Drosophila melanogaster: one gene and its partner. The protein of the gene in region 1 interacts with the protein of each later gene in a pairwise test. Each region holds a gene or a part of one and is shown on either strand. Other genes may lie near its edges. The genes, in order: Mvl and Sap-r.

What was found.
Region 2: the proteins of Mvl (region 1) and Sap-r interact in a two-hybrid assay, tested with the Drosophila melanogaster proteins (one large-scale study listed by BioGRID).

Annotation. Positions count from the first base shown.
Region 1 is NT_033777.3:21,054,551-21,062,783, reverse strand, and holds the start of Mvl (malvolio), read left to right. Parts: upstream 1-2,130; 5' UTR 2,131-2,199; exon of another isoform or gene 2,200-4,315; 5' UTR 4,316-4,316; coding exon 4,317-4,523; intron 4,524-4,583; coding exon 4,584-4,768; intron 4,769-4,832; coding exon 4,833-4,997; intron 4,998-5,069; coding exon 5,070-5,208; intron 5,209-5,933; coding exon 5,934-6,089; intron 6,090-6,157; coding exon 6,158-6,316; intron 6,317-6,374; coding exon 6,375-6,820; intron 6,821-6,881; coding exon 6,882-6,997; intron 6,998-7,060; coding exon 7,061-7,152; intron 7,153-7,368; coding exon 7,369-7,439; intron 7,440-7,742; coding exon of another isoform or gene 7,743-7,824; exon of another isoform or gene 7,825-8,136; intron 8,137-8,233. Other genes in the region: cortactin, read left to right, coding at 1-558. UniProt on the Drosophila melanogaster protein: Putative transporter required for normal taste behavior. May be a nitrite/nitrate transporter.
Region 2 is NT_033777.3:30,882,989-30,890,843, forward strand, and holds Sap-r (Saposin-related), read right to left. Parts: upstream 6,075-7,855; 5' UTR 5,946-6,074; coding exon 5,897-5,945; intron 5,839-5,896; exon of another isoform or gene 5,752-5,838; coding exon 5,673-5,751; intron 3,917-5,672; coding exon 3,634-3,916; intron 3,560-3,633; coding exon 1,732-3,559; intron 1,663-1,731; coding exon 1,187-1,662; intron 1,130-1,186; coding exon 988-1,129; intron 930-987; coding exon 925-929; 3' UTR 476-924; downstream 1-475. Other genes in the region: CG15547 (uncharacterized protein), read right to left, coding at 1-83, 140-411.

The DNA of each region.
Region 1 (8,233 bases):
GCTCGAGAGCCGGAAACAGCTCCAGTGGCCAAGGCTGCAGCTCCACCACCAGATGTGGTGCCCCAAATTGAGGTTGAGACCGTGGACACGCCTCCCAGAAGTGAGCCGCAATCACCAGTGTATGTGCCGACGCCTCAACCCGAAGTCCACGCCCAAGTCCAAGTCCAACCTGAGCCGCAACCTCAAGCCGATCCTGAGCCAGTAGTTGAAGAAGAGCCACTGTACCAGAACCAGGCCGAGATTAAGGCTGCCTCGCCCTTGCCACCAACGAATGGAACCGTTTCAGAGGCTGTTGCTCCGAGTGGCACCGCAACCGTTCCCGAGGAGGCAATCTACGCGAACTCAGACAATTTGGCCGACTATCTGGAGGACACCGGAATCCACGCCATTGCCCTGTACGACTACCAGGCGGCGGATGACGACGAGATATCCTTTGATCCAGATGACGTGATCACCCACATCGAGAAGATCGACGATGGGTGGTGGAGGGGATTGTGCAAGAACCGCTACGGACTCTTTCCAGCCAACTACGTGCAGGTGGTGGGACAGAACTCATAAAAGCTTCCAATTGAAATTCACGATAGAACAAAATCAAATTGTATTTACATACTAACGAAAACGATAATACTGATGTTGGATTATAAACCATATAAACCAATTCGCAACTAACCCAGCCCATTTCCCATCCATTGTTTACCCTCTTAACCCTCCAAATTATGTGCAACGAATGGCTAGATATTGAATTATTATTGTAATTTGTTATGCTAGCACTTAAAGTAACCGTGGTATTCCATTTTTGATATATGTATCATTTATTGCATTTTACATTCTTTGTATTTAACACATTTATTTTACCAAGAAAATATGCCAAGCTATTTTAGATATCTCTCATTTCATATTTTATGCATTAGTTATGATATTTGTGTCAAGTAACGATTTTGGTTTTTTTGAATTGTATAAAGTCTACGAGAGTTTCCCGTGTCAGGTGATCTGATCTAATGTTAAAGACGGATCTAATGTTGAAGACAGTCACAAACAAAAAGTCTGCTCTTTTGATAAAGAAATACATAATTAATAAAGTTAAATAATAACGAGTTCTCTCTTAAATTGTGGTACTGATAGTTCGGGTGTTTTTGTTTTTTTTTAAGGCCTAACAAATCATTTTACTAAGTAAAATGATTTCATTGGATACGGGAATTCACAAATTTCTATAAGAAGATAAGAACGAGCATATTGTTGGGTTCCTTCTAATATCACGAGGATATCTCTATTTTGGGGTAGAACTGTCAAGGCCTTTCTTGGATGGGCCGAATTCTTATCTGCCTGTTCCGAACGCATCGTAATCTGGCAAAGTAGAAATTGTTACATGAAACGAGCTACTGACATGATTCATGGTGCAAATGTGAGTGCATATGGGCTCAACAAAGAAAGAGTACTTTGCATTGTGGTGATTAATTAGTTAAAAAACATACATAAGTAGGATGTACGGCCATATTGTAAATTTGAGCGCCAATCCCAAAAAGACTTGATAAGATTTATCGCAATTATTGGCGACGGATCGTAATCGAAAAAAGTGTCAGACGAAATCAAAGTTTTGACTGATAAAGTTGATGTATAAATTAAACTTCAAGGAGGTATTACGATAAAGTGTGCGTGTTGGTAATAACGTAGATATTATTAACTAGTGATTGTAACTCAAAGGGTATGCAACTTAACTATGTATCCCGCATAACATTTCTAACGGTAACCTGCGGTCGATGTACAAACCGGTATTTCAAATGCATGTTCAAATCTTAGGCGGTATTTCTGGGGCCTTCAAAAATCCAAATCTCAGGCCTTATCAAAAAATCTCCCCTCAAAAAAAAGCAGTGGTCTTTCTCCCACGCACACACTCTCTCTCTCTCTCTTTCTGTCTTTCTTTTTCTCACTTGCCGACGCGAGAGAGAGATATTTTGAATAAATAGGGGCTACCGCAAAATGCTATAGTCAGTCACTCGATCGCGTGGGCTCAGAGTTAAAACTTCAGTTTGGCCGATAAGGTTAGTACTCTTGTCGAGTGTTGCCAGATTTCGGCAAGTCAAAGAAGAGAGAGTGGCCGCAGGTTGCCACATTGGGCACAGACGAAAAGACAGTGTGCATGTGAGAGGCGAGTGAGTGTGCGTGCAAAAGAAAGCAGCTGGTGGCAGAATCTCAAATATTGTGAGGAAAATTAATAAACAAAGAGCTGCGCTCACGGCTGAGCACAAATTGCCTGCACGCTCGTCAATTGTCGTTAACTAAGTCAGCAATTGGCAGCCAAACCGTCCGCTTCTTCGTCATTTCTCTGCTTCGTTTACTGCGACCATCACCACTCTTGTTTCGGCCGTACAACGTCACGGAATTCGTAAATTTCGTAAATTGCTCCGCGAGAAAAGCAGGAAAATGCATTTATAAGCTGCCACAAGTGCCGAGATTGTGATATAATAAAGGCGAGGGCTCCAATTAGTTAACCCCCAGTTGCAAGTAAGCCATTAACTGGTAGGAAGTGCTGTTTAACCTGAGTTGCCCAATAATTTACATCTCCATCAATATTTCGTGTGTGTGTGTGAGTGCGCACGCAGGTGTGCGCTAATAACAAAAACAACGTGGTGCACCCTCTCTCCGTCCGCTCTCCCTCTAACCGGCAAAGAGAGTAATGTATAATTCTTAACCGTAAATAACCGTAAACAGAAAACAATTGTTGACAAGCTATTCGCACTTTAAAATCCCCTAACAATGGATAGTTTTCCAGACACAATTCACTACTTTTATTGCCAGCGAGAACTGTCATAGAAATAACTATTTTAGGCAGCGGAAATCGTATAATTACTGTTTTAGTTTTTTTTTTTTTAACAAGCGACTTAACAATGTGGGCTGATAAGTATTGCTCTTCTATTTTCAAATTACTGTTATCTGCATTTGTCAATTTTTTGTTGTCAAGTGTTTTGTTTCGCCTGCTTCAATATACAATATAAATTGCTTTTGCCCGCTGACTGCGCAAAATGGTACGCAGTTTAAAATATATATTTTCTCTAAATAAACTCATGATATTTTTTGGTGCCACTTAATTTGGACTCTTAATGGAAATGGTTCGTTTTTTTTTTTTTTGATTACCAATTGTCATAATTTACAGCGTCCAACTGGGCACTAAAGTGGCAAAGGAACACGTACATAAATATGTGGCTGATTATACACTTATCGGCTAGAATTCCGCTTTTGGGGGCGTGGGTATTGCCATACAACTGGGTAAACAGAGCAGTCTGCGCCACACAATATAACACAAAAGTGTTCCAATGAACTAAACACCCTCCTCCGACATTTCGTTGTTACACATTTCCTTCGAGCCACTGCAGCGCGATTTAAGCTCCATTAATGGCGGCTTGATATGGCCAACTCGGTTACTTATAGTATATGCCAAATGTACCCGTCCAAGTGCCACATATAATGTGAAGTAGACATTGCACGATGCTCTCGAGCTCTTTGTCTTTGCTTGCTCCGATTCAATCATCAATGAAGCGATGTGGAAAGCCTTATAGCAGATATGTAGCATCAGTGGGGCAGTCGCGTTTGTCAAGGTGAGCCACTTGGCTCTACATTCAATGTATTGCGTTGAAGAGCAGCCAAGACTGCTCAGGCATCTTGTATACGAAATGCACTTGTAATCGCTTTTACCAAATAAACAGTCCAAAATTTCACATCGATACACGGGTCAATGGACTCGTGTTTATGTTCAAGTAGTCTTGTTTTCGACCATCCATATCTATACGACTGCAAATGCGAAATATCTGCAAGTTCTCTGGGTAAATTGGGCAGAGGCATTTCAATTACTGGACTTCATGAATCACTGAGCTCGTTTTATTTCCTTATATACCCGCATAATATAAGCAAATTTCAGTAATATTATGGACGCGTTATCAGTTACCCCCGAGCTAATGCCTCTCGAACTATTTATTGTTTTCATATTTTGCCACGCGCGTTTCGGAAAAAATAAAACGTGTTACTGTGACTTTGCTCTTGATTATGGTGAAATCCCCAAATAAAACTATATGGTGCAAAAAACTTAATTATAGCGCAAAATTATTTTGTTTGTTGTGTGCAATATGATAATGCTAATTGAGCTAGAATCACACACAGATGCTCAATTAAATGAAAATGGTGGGAATCATAAGCTGATGCCAGGTGAAACAATCAAATAGAAAATACAAATTAGAGTAGTCGACAATGGGCAGTGGACGGGAATATAGCAGCATGTGGAAACTCGAATTAGGTCCAGTCTAACCTCGCCTCTTCTGTGCAGCATGTCTTCGAATGAGGCCTACCACGAGCCGGGTGCCGGTGGAGATGGACCGGGCGGATCGTCTGGCGCATCCGGCGGAGGAAGTCAGCGGAGCAACCAGCTGCACCACCAGCAGATACTCAACGAGACGACCTACCTGAAACCCGCCGCCAAGCAGGCCTACTTTAGCGACGAGAAGGTCCTCATACCCGACGATGATAGCACAAACGTAAGACCCGCTTGAATAGCAATGCTACTCAAACTTTATCTAATATCTGGTGATCTGCAGGTGGGTTTCAGCTTTCGCAAGCTGTGGGCCTTCACGGGACCCGGTTTTCTTATGTCCATTGCGTATCTGGACCCCGGCAACATCGAATCCGATATGCAGTCTGGTGCGGCGGCCAAGTACAAGATCTTGTGGGTCTTGCTGTGGGCCACAGTCCTAGGTCTGCTCATGCAACGCTTGGCTGCAAGGTAATTGGGTCTCCACACCTTGCAAAAAAGATGATGATATAAGCGTTTATTATCTTCCTGGCAGACTGGGCGTGGTTACAGGCCTGCATCTGGCCGAGATGTGCTACAGACAGTACAAGCGTCTGCCACGTTGGATACTGTGGATAATGATAGAGATAGCCATTATTGGATCCGACATGCAGGAGGTCATTGGCACGGCCATTGCCATATACCTGCTGTCCAACAAAGTGTAAGCAAATCTAATGAGCGGATTATCGCAGTACCCAGTACTCATGCATGCGGTGCTTTCCCCATTTTGTAGAGTGCCTTTGTGGGGCGGAGTGTTGATCACCATTGTTGACACGTTCACGTTCCTGTTTCTGGACAAGTACGGTCTACGCAAGCTGGAGTTCCTATTCGGCACCCTCATCACCATTATGGCTGTCTCATTCGGCTATGAGGTAAGTTTAAAATGCAAAGTTGAAAAAAATAACTTAACTATAAAAAGTAATCGCCAAAATCAGCAAAAAATCCCCTTGCCAAATGACAATAAAGTAGTCAAGAGAATAAATTACCAGACGTGAGTGCAAATACGAATTGTTTAAACAATTGCAACGACCGCAATGGCAAATAATTTGTGAGATGCCTGTTTAGGTTTATTTTAATGATCGCTAGTAGTAAATTTACATTTGACTTGTCGATTTCTGGATGAAGTTAGCCCGTTAACTAGCCCCATATTCTTACTCTTAAGTTTACGACCGCATCATGTTAACGGGCCAGATTATAAACAATTGTACTTGAGCTTTCTGCCCCAGACGGAGATGATTAGATAAGCTTCACTCGCACACTAAATGGGGTTCTGAGCGTGGGTGCTGGATACTTCATCTTTTGTTTGCCAGGCACATGATGCTGCCGGACATGACTAACAATTCCAGATGGGATGTGTAATGCCAGTCTTATCAATTAGATTATACAATGCAGAATTGTACAATTACCGATGGTGGTTTTTGGAGATAATTACAATGGAAAAAAGTGGGGGTGCCTCGAGGGGATTTTTCTACGAGTAACAAGTATTTTGTTATTTCTAACCAAATCTCAATATAAGCTAGGAACAATTTGTTTTCTCCCCATAATCATTTTTTAAATGGTTTTAAGTCATAATTAATTTATTTTTCATATCTTTCAGTACATTGTATCAGCCCCTAATCAAGGAGAAGTTCTCGAGGGAATGTTTGTGCCCTGGTGCTCTAACTGCAATTCGAATGTGTTGCTGCAGGCCGTGGGTGTCGTGGGTGCTGTTATTATGCCGCACAATCTCTACCTGCATTCCGCCTTGGTTAAGGTATAGCACAACTAGCTTTTTGTGACTTCGTAATTAGATACCAATACATAACAATTTTCTGTTAACAGTCCCGCGATATAGACCGTCGCCAGACAAAGAAAGTTAGTGAGGCGAATTTTTACTTCTTCATCGAGGCGTCGGTAGCCTTGTTTGTGTCCTTCATCATTAACCTGTTTGTGGTGGCTGTGTTTGCCCATGGCATGTATGGCAAAACTAATAATGATGTGGTAAGTAGACTTTTGAATTTATGTGTAAAATGATTGCTAACTCTTTGTGGGCCAATAGGTTGAAGTGTGTAAAGACAAGTCGATGTACGAAGATGCCAAAATGTCTTTTGTGGACAATGTAAATGGAACCGCGATCATCGATGCAGATCTATACAAGGGCGGACTTTTCCTTGGCTGCACATTTGGAGCTGTCGCCATGTACATTTGGGGTGTGGGCATTCTAGCTGCTGGCCAGAGTTCCACCATGACGGGCACCTATGCCGGTCAGTTCTCAATGGAAGGCTTCTTGAATCTGCAGTGGCCGCGCTGGTGTCGCGTGCTGGTCACGCGCTGCATTGCCATTATTCCCACCTTCTGCCTGGCCATGTTCAGCAAGATGGAAGATTTGACTAGCATGAACGATATCCTGAATGCGGTGATGTCGCTCCAGCTGCCATTCGCTGCCATACCCACCATCGCCTTCACCTCGTGCGCCGCCATAATGGGCGAGTTTGTTAATGGACTGTAAGTGATACAGACACTTTTAATTGATTATCGTGCATTCTTTAAATTTTTGTATTCACAGGGGCAACAAAATCGTATCCATACTGCTCACCATTGTAGTGATTGGCGTTAATTTGTACTTTGTGGTGGTGCAAGTAGAGAATATGGAAATTAAAGGCGGCTTGCTGGCACTAGTCTGTGAGTAGTCAATTGCCACAATTTAAACCGAATCTAATGTATTTTTCCTTTTGCCAATTGCAGGTATTTTTGCCATTTTGTATATACTGTTCAACCTCTACCTTGTGATACACATGGCTGCCTGCATGGGCAATCAGCGTTTGATGAACAGCCGGGTAAGTACTTGGCCGCAACTAGTTGGGTCACTTATCAAATGGGCTTAGAGAATCACAAATTAGGCGAACTTTTTGACACATTTTAAAGCATCACAGATACCGCACTGAACGGACTGACTTTATCAAATTACGTGACTGACCACATATGGTTCTTGGGGGCTTTGAGGGCTTATGCCTACTTCATCAACTGGTACTCAAGGTATTCTCTGTTTACAGTGGGTGCAGCGTTTTGTGTTGCCAAGCCAGAACAGCTTTTCGATAAAGAACGCCAACTCGACGTACGCCAGGTATGTTCCCGATTTTTGATTCCAACCATTCAACCATATAACCATCCAGAACACACTCGAATGCACAAACTCTCTCGATTTGCATCTTCTTCCTTAAAAGCATTCTCTGCTAACCCATTGCTTGTGATTAAGTTTTTTCCCGCTCTGCTTTCAACCAAATCGGCCTAACTTCCTAATGATTCTAATCTTATCTCATCTGTACTTACTTTCTATTTACTAATCTACATTTGGTTATCATCTCTGAACTAAAACTAAACCCTCAACCCGTATTTTGCTGTGCTCTCTTCTTTCGATTTTTCACAGTGATGTAACCTTAGTTGTAGGCGATTCAGCTACTAACACGGTGAAAGGTCTTGATACCGTCTCGGAGAAAGTGCCTAACTGAATCATCCCGGTGACTCAATCAGGCCACACTCCCCCACACACCCTTGTGATATTAACACTAAATCACACGCTTAACACTACTAACACGTACCTAGTAGGGCTCTACGCAACCCTTAGCATTTGTAAGGCATGTCTTTAGGGGAACTACGATTGTACATAAAAAGCATTTACCCATCAACGATGGGGTCCTATAGATTATAAGCTTGACTGTGGTAAGTCTTCTATGATTGCTTTATCGAGCTATGGGTATTATGTACTCATAAAGCTTTGGCGCTTAGCATGTTAAATAAAGTTGCAGTTATCACTAAGTATTACTCGAGAAGTCTTTCAATTTATTGGTAATTGGTATTTGACCATAAGTGCGAATATAAGCCATTTTACGATTGGAATTTGATTGCACAAGGATTGTA
Region 2 (7,855 bases), 9.8 Mb from region 1:
GAAAAATAAAGTTTATCTCACGAGCCACGCTGTAACTGTTCTTGGTGACATGGATATTGCGTTCCAGATCCGATGCCGAACCACTTAAAGTCAAATTGTACCTAGAGAACTTATTATTTTATTTTAAAAGCAAACTCACAAATAACAAATCATGATGTTGAGCAGCTCCTGCACGGCGTTTTCCTTCGTAACTATGAACGCCTCGGAAACACCCTTCGAAAGCAGAATGACCTCCAGCATAAACCCCTTTTCATCGGCATAATCGGCATAGAACTCGGCGGCAGTTTCTGGCGAAAAGGCAATCCGTCGATTACCCTGAATCTGGAAGCCCTCGGCCAGCAACTTTAAGAGCACCGGACGCCGCTTGTGCAGATAGTCCGGCTTAATGATAAACAGGGAGTTCTCAAACATGTCGGCTAGAAAATATATACTATTCCAAGGGGAATTGGGAATTTTCAATAATGTGCTACTATGTCGGTTTAAGTTTTCTGTATGATTTATAAGATCAATGTTCGTATTTTACACAGTTTTGCTTGATATCTTAAACTACACACACTGCTCAAATGACTTCGGACACATGGGGATATCGATACAAAGTTTGCGGCTCGTGAATTTCGCTAATTTTTATGTTGAAATTACGATAAGGGTACTGCTTAGTGTAAGTGTTAGTTTAGTTAAGTTTAACTTTTTTCAGCCGGCGTTTGAGTGCGTTTATAAATTCAGTTTCATCACAAATTCACCTAACAAATTTAGAGCCAAAAACCGGGGTACAAAACGAAAAGTAAGTAATTATGTTTCATTTACAGTAAATCGTTATAGAATGTAAACAGATATATGTAAAGGTATATGCATATATAAAGCGTGGGATCGGGTCCCTTCTCCTTCAAATCCTCCGCGCCTGGTTCGTACATCACAACGCATCACTTAGGCTGTTGAAGATAGTAAATTAGTAAATGTATTGTTTGGGTCCTTCAACCTATAGCTTACCTGAAATTCTAGCAAAGGCCAGCGAAGACTTCTCGCTTTCGAAACACTTGCCAATCTCGGCGCAAATATGCGACTGATCAATATAGGGTCGTTTGGCCAAGTTCTTAATGCTACTGCCATAGATGGAGATCATCTCAGAGCACTGCAACGCAAAGGAACTTATAGATATTTATAACATTCAGGATTGTAAGTTACATACGATCTTGTAGTACTTGGCTGGCAAGTTCTCGCATCCCACCGATGTCATCTGTAGGGCTGTCACTTCGGATACGTTATCTTTCTTCTCGCGCAGGAAGGGCAACAGAGCCTGGGTGACTCCATGGCACACACCACACTCCAAAACTTCATCGGTGACGGCCACGCTGAAGCAGAGCTGCAGTTTCTGGCACACCTGCTTGGGCGGCACATCGCTCAGCAATTTCAGGACCGCAGAGGCATATCCATCGACGAAGGTGTCGCACTGTTTGCGCACCGTGGCTGGCAGGCGATTGCACACGGCTTCAATCGCTCGCTTAATGTCGTCCTGTTCGGTCTTATTCTTTAGATCGGCATCCAACTTGGTCATGATAAATTCGCAAAGGACGCAGGTGGGCGGCTCCTTGATGCTGCTAGACAGCTTGTTGTCCTGGCGCGGCAGAGCAATCACGTCGTACTTCAAAGCCTCATCCACTTCGACTGTATTACGAAAATGAAATTCATTAGTTTAAACGTATACTTAACGTAGCTCTAGAATTTAATACTCACGATCATCCAGATCAGCCAGGATGCACATTCCCAACTCCGTGCAGATAAGCTTGGGATCCATTTCCTTTAACAGCAGATCGGCGATCTTATCGCCGTACTTGTCGATAACCTTGTGGCATTTAGTGTTCATTGGCTTCCTCATTCGGTCGCAAGACTCCTCCAGGATATGCTTGATGCTGTCTCTGGTGGGGTGCTTGCCCATACGCTTCTCCAAGGTCTTAACCAACTCCTCGCAGATCAGGCAGTTCGGAGCAGCGGTGAATCCTGGGTCGAAGGCCAGCTGAGGGGGCAGCTCCTCAAGGGACTCAATGTCATTGAAGCTGATTTCCTCACTGCTGGATTTGTCCTCACCATCGACATCGTCCTCCAGCGAGATGCGCAAGTCCCAGAGAGCGTAAGTGGTCTTTGGGCAGAGCTTCAGTTGGACGCAGATCTCCTGCGGCTTAAAATCTGTGATCAGCATGTCGATCAGCTCATTGGAATAGGTGTTCACGAAGTCTACGCATTCTTCCTTTATCTCGTTGGGCAGATGGCTGCAAAGGCCATTCAGAACCTTTTTGATATTATCCTTGGACTTGTTGTCGCGGATCTTCATCTGGGCCTGCTCAACGGCAAAGAGGCACAGAGGGCAAGTTGGGGGATCCTGCTCATCGCTGGCTGGCTGGGGATTGAACACTTCGACATCTTCCTTCTTGGGCAGATTCTTCGGGCACATCTGCATGAGGGGGCACACGTCACGAGGATTCAGTCCTTGGACGAGCAGAGCTATCACAGCATCGCCATACATCTCCACGAAGTTGCGGCATTGACCGGCAACTCCCGAGGGCAGTTTGGCGCAGATGTTCTCCACGGTGTGCTTGATCTCGTCATCCGTGGAGGGGGTAGCCAGAGTCTCCTGAATGAAATGCAGCATGTACTCACACAGGGTGCACAGCTCTCCACCCTCGACCAAAGCTCCGGGATTAGCTGCACCCATTAGGTGATCAATGGGCAGCTGCATGTCCAGGATCTCTTGCTGGCTGAACTTCGGCTCACTGGCGCCCAGTTGCTTCTTCTCGTGCTTCTCCAGCTTCTCGATGGTGATCTTTACCTGAGCCGGCTCAATAACAGGCAGCAGCGGCATGATTGGGACATCCTTCATCGAGGAGGCGGAGTTCTTCTGGCAAATGCCGATCATGCAGCAGGCTCCATTGGCATCTAACTTGCTGACCAGAGTCTCGTAAATCACATGGTAGTATTGGTCAACAATGCTAAGGCACTCGTCCTTGAATCCCTTTGACTGCTTGCAGAATCCTTCCATAACTTGCTTGAACTCCGTTTCAGTGGTGTTGGCCACCAAGACGTCGCGAAGGTGCTTTACTAGTTGCTCGCATAGTTCGCATGGAATATCATCGCCGGCATCCAAGGCAACTAAGGCTTCTTGCGGTTGCTTTTCCTCTTCATGCTGGTGATATCTGGAGGCACACACTCCGGACACATGGCACACGGCATCCGTGGTCAAGTGCTTGCTCACATGGTCGTAGATATCATTAAAATAGGTGAGCACAATGTTGGCACAGGCGTCTGAGAAACTAGATAGCGATCCGCACATATGAAGCATCGTTTCCACCATGTCATCGCGATCGGTAGCCGCAAATTTCGAGTGCATCAGGCGGGAAAGCAGGTTGCAGTTGCCGCAGGAAAGTTGGTTAGGCTGCATGGCCAACTCGGTCTCCTCGGAGCTGTCATCTTCATTCTGGACGGTTCCATCAAGACCAGCCTGAATGCCGTTCTTATACAATTCGTCGATGCGAGCACTGTTGCAAAGTCCGGCCACAGAGCAAACTTGCTGAGGATTGAAGGGAAACATTTTATATATCAATAAAAGGTTTAGGAGGATGTGTTGTAGAGGTGAAAACTCACATCTGGATTCATCTGCGAGGCCAGGGCCTCGACCAACTCGGGCAGGAAGTCATCGGCCACCTTGATGCACTCCTTCTGGATCGGCTTGATCGGAATCAGCTTGCAGGAGCCCTCGAAGACCTCCTTCAGCTCCTCCTCTGTCTGGTTGCTCTTCAGCTGGTCGCGGGCCTGAGTAACCATGTCCTTGCATATCGTGCAGATGGAGTCCGTGTCCACCGGCACCTTTTGGGTTTCCCAAACGGTTTGGATGCAGTGGCGGGTGGCACGACATTCCTTGGAGTTGCTGGAAAGGAAGCAGACATAAAGTTAGCAAACTTTTTTTTTGCTGTTAAGATAAACCCATCAGAGTAAGCAGTCGGATACTAAGCTGATTGTGCGAAATGCCGCTGTTCGGATCAAATGACCCGCATTCGTAATCGAGTGGCCAAGCCAGAATCGACGAGTCAGCAAAGACCAGAGTCCACTAAAAAGGGAGTAGTCCCCTATCCACTTTAAGAATGCACCCACAGCTCACATGATAATGTTGGGTCTTCAATGAATACAACGAAGCATTGGACTGGTAATAATTTTGATTTTTGAACATCCGAGACGGAACGAAATGGTTTAATAATCATCAAACTTATGCTGACTAAATCAAAGCCCATATCATCTCATATAAGCAAATAGCATTTAAAGCACAACACTTTGATGGAAAGTAACCCTATATTTGTTCAATATAAATCGATTTGACTGATTCGAACGGAAAGTGCTAATTTCCATTAACATGAAGAGACGCCTGCGGTGGAATCGCCAGGAATACCAAACAAAAGCGTCTAAATAGCAAAAAATCAGCACTGATAAGCACGGAAATAAACAGTACATATGTATGAATGATATATCTGGACGTATCCACGTATATATTATTCACTTGGCTGCGCATTCACAGATATTGTTTTCTGAATTTTCAACAGCAATGGCGACGTTTTTAATTTTTGACACTCTGCAATTGAGAAACAAAGAAACGGTTAAGAGCCAGAAATGGCGGATTTTCCTGGCCATTTAAAAATAAATCAATCAATAAACAAAGGAATTACGACTAGCGATAAGCGATGGATGGGTGCTTAACAAATGTTTTCAGTTGCCTATTGATCGCTTTTACTCTATTAATGATGCAGTCCATGTAAATGTTTTCAAGTTTATCTTGGTGTAACATACATACATATGTACGTACAGTATAGCTTCTGTAAGGTGATCCTTTGTGGCCGCAATGTAATATCACTCCATTGAGGAATTTACAATTGTGAGTATGGCTAAGATAAGGGTTTCAAGTGCATTGTGATTGTGTTAAGGCTTAGAAGTTGCACTTTCGGATGTTCCCCTGTACTCATCATACGCCTGAGGGATTAGTCAGAATTCGTTGATAAGGAACAACTGTTGCCGCCTACAGCGAATTAACAATGATAAACAAAGCAATCATGTGGTTTGTTTGGCGGTGCACAGAAAAGGGAGCTGTGTCAAAACGATCTGCTCCTCTGGATTACTCATGCATATAATCGGTGTCGATAAAGTTGTGCCCCCTACGAGCGCTTAACTCTGCCGTCTAAATGTTCCGACTGGCGGTACTGTTAATTTGATTTGTACAGCGAATGTGCAGACAAAGGAAATCCAGAAATATGGGATATGAAGGCAGAGAGTATTGCGAAAAGTGCACTCAGAGAAAACATCGAGTCTGTAAAACAATACAACGCAAAATAAGGGGACGCAATTAGAGCGGCACTAGTGTTAAGTTTGCAATAACAGGGGTTATCGGCGAATAGAGCTATGTAGAGCAAAGTGATTCGATTCCCGATTCGAGTGATAGTCTTATCGGCCGAGAACAAAACAGAACAGACGAGTCTTCGCTGCAAACAATGGGCAAGTGAGGCGGAGAAGTAATATCGCTATTTGGAGGGGGGTTAAGAGAGGTTAGCTTTTCGCCTTCGAGAACTTTGTGGTGTTCGATGACCAAGCGATTTATCCGAATATACCGTTTATTGTATCACCCACTTTTTTGCACTCACCTGAAATTTCCGCACCAGTAGGAGGGTCCCCAGGTGCACTTGCTGGAGCCCAAAAGGGGCGTGGCAGCGGCGAAGACGCCTGCAAGAAAGCAAACAAACAAAGAGAGCAACGGTTGAGGAACAGAGTGCACAGCACGAATACGCAATAAGCTATGACTAAACTATTATTGTGGTTCCCTTTCAACGTCGCTTTTCGCACTTCTCTCCATCTCTTCTCCACTCACCAAAGGCGCAGCACAGTGCCAAAACGGCCAAGAGGCCTGCTCTCTCCATTTTCCCGGTTTTAACTGTACTTCTTAAATGTCGGCGGAGATAGTCCTCTATTTGCAGCTACGTATTTATTTCTGAACGAAAACTGAAGTGCAATTGCAACGATTGGTTCAATTTTTTATTTGTCTGTAGTGTGGCCGCCGTCTGTTTCGTCAAATATATACCGTAGCGATATAATAGTGCGACCAGTCAGCGATTGAATTATTGTTAAATTTATTTAACGATACTTATGGAGCAAGACTTGGATAATGCTTTTAGCATAAAACCAACCCAGTGTATACTTAGCAATCAGGGGGGAGCATGGACTCGAACCGCACTCTGTTAATAACAGAGATCTGTTTTTGCCTTTCAAAAAGCCATAAAAACCTCCGAGGAAGCTATCATAAAATGGGGTCAGCAAATCATTAAACTTAAAATGGTATAATAAACAATTAAGTAACCGATATGAAACTATTAGATTTGGGCCACCTTTCTATAGGGTGTTAAGTACATGGAGTACTTGAATACGTTGTCCTTCAAATTATAACTTCAATTATCGTAGAAGAAAATTATTGCTCCTAAAGTCGGAACAATTTATTAAATCACTCACTCAATCAACAAACAAAGCCTTCGCCACCCGCAAATGCCTCACAATGTATTTATAATCGATTGCAATCCGCAGATTTAATTACATATTGCCGCGACGAAACTATGACAATAACCATCAGCGATGTTCTTGAACTTAGCGCGGTTATTAATACGCCCCTTTTTGCCCAGCCCCATCGCTTAACCCCCCTTTGGCCAACTTGGCCAACTGTGCGACGTGAACTGGCAGGCACATGATTAAATTCTATTGTAATTGCGGGTTAATTGATGTGAGCCTGCCCAGATGTAAAGCTCGCAGGCATAAATGTTGGGGAAAATGCATCTCACTCGTAATGGCCGGCTAGTAGATTTTTCTCGCGATGCCTATCGGCGTGTAATTCTCGATTCCGAGGTGCGTATCAAGATCTGTGTGAGAATCGTCTGAAGATACATTCGCAAAGAATGCCAGACACATTCTCACAGCGATTGAAAGTCGAGGTCATCTGGTGGTGTTTGCCCAACGAAATGCCAAATGCAAGCGCCGATCCGGCCAATACGGCCATAACATGGCTATATCTGTGTCAAAACCAACGATTTGGCTGTTCAGGGGCTTAGAAGGAAACCTGAAACCTGTCGTGTTGACCGTGGATTGCAACGCCTGCCGTGCATTTCGGTTCTTTGACGGAGATTAACCCACTGAGACCTTGCTGAAATACTTGGTACTTAGAACCAAAAATTGTGGAAATATTAAATTGCACTCGATTAAATAGGAATTGAATTTAAGGTTTATGTGACCTTAGGCGAGGTACCATGGGGTAGTAGAGGGTTAATTGCAGCCAGACACTGCACTTGACACTTGAAGTCTGGCTGCGAGATTGATATTATGGCAATTGAGTGGACCGCCGCCAAAGAACAAGTAATCAAGTTCAGCAGTGAAGGAAATTTAGGCAATTAACACGCTTATAAGTGAAGCAGTAAATCATTGGACTAACGTTTAATTTCGGAGTTTCAAGAGCGAGATAATTTTCTGCTTTTATCCGCTTTTTTATGTCATTCATAAATTTGTTTACTCTAGAAGCGACTGCTTGTTTGGGTCTTTGAATTCAGCCAAGCCAAGTTATAGTCGGACAAAGTACAAAGTACGCCTTTTATTCCCTCCCAATTAACTTGGTCAAAAATCAGGTTCGGAAAGAATTAAATGCATCCATCCACAAGAGTGAAATTTCCGGCAGTTCACACGCTGGCAGATAAAATCGAGGCTCGAGATACATTTTGTGTTGAGTGACCCGCGGAGAGATTGGTAACAACTCTAATTGCCGCGATTGCCAAGTGCGTCACATAAGGCCCGT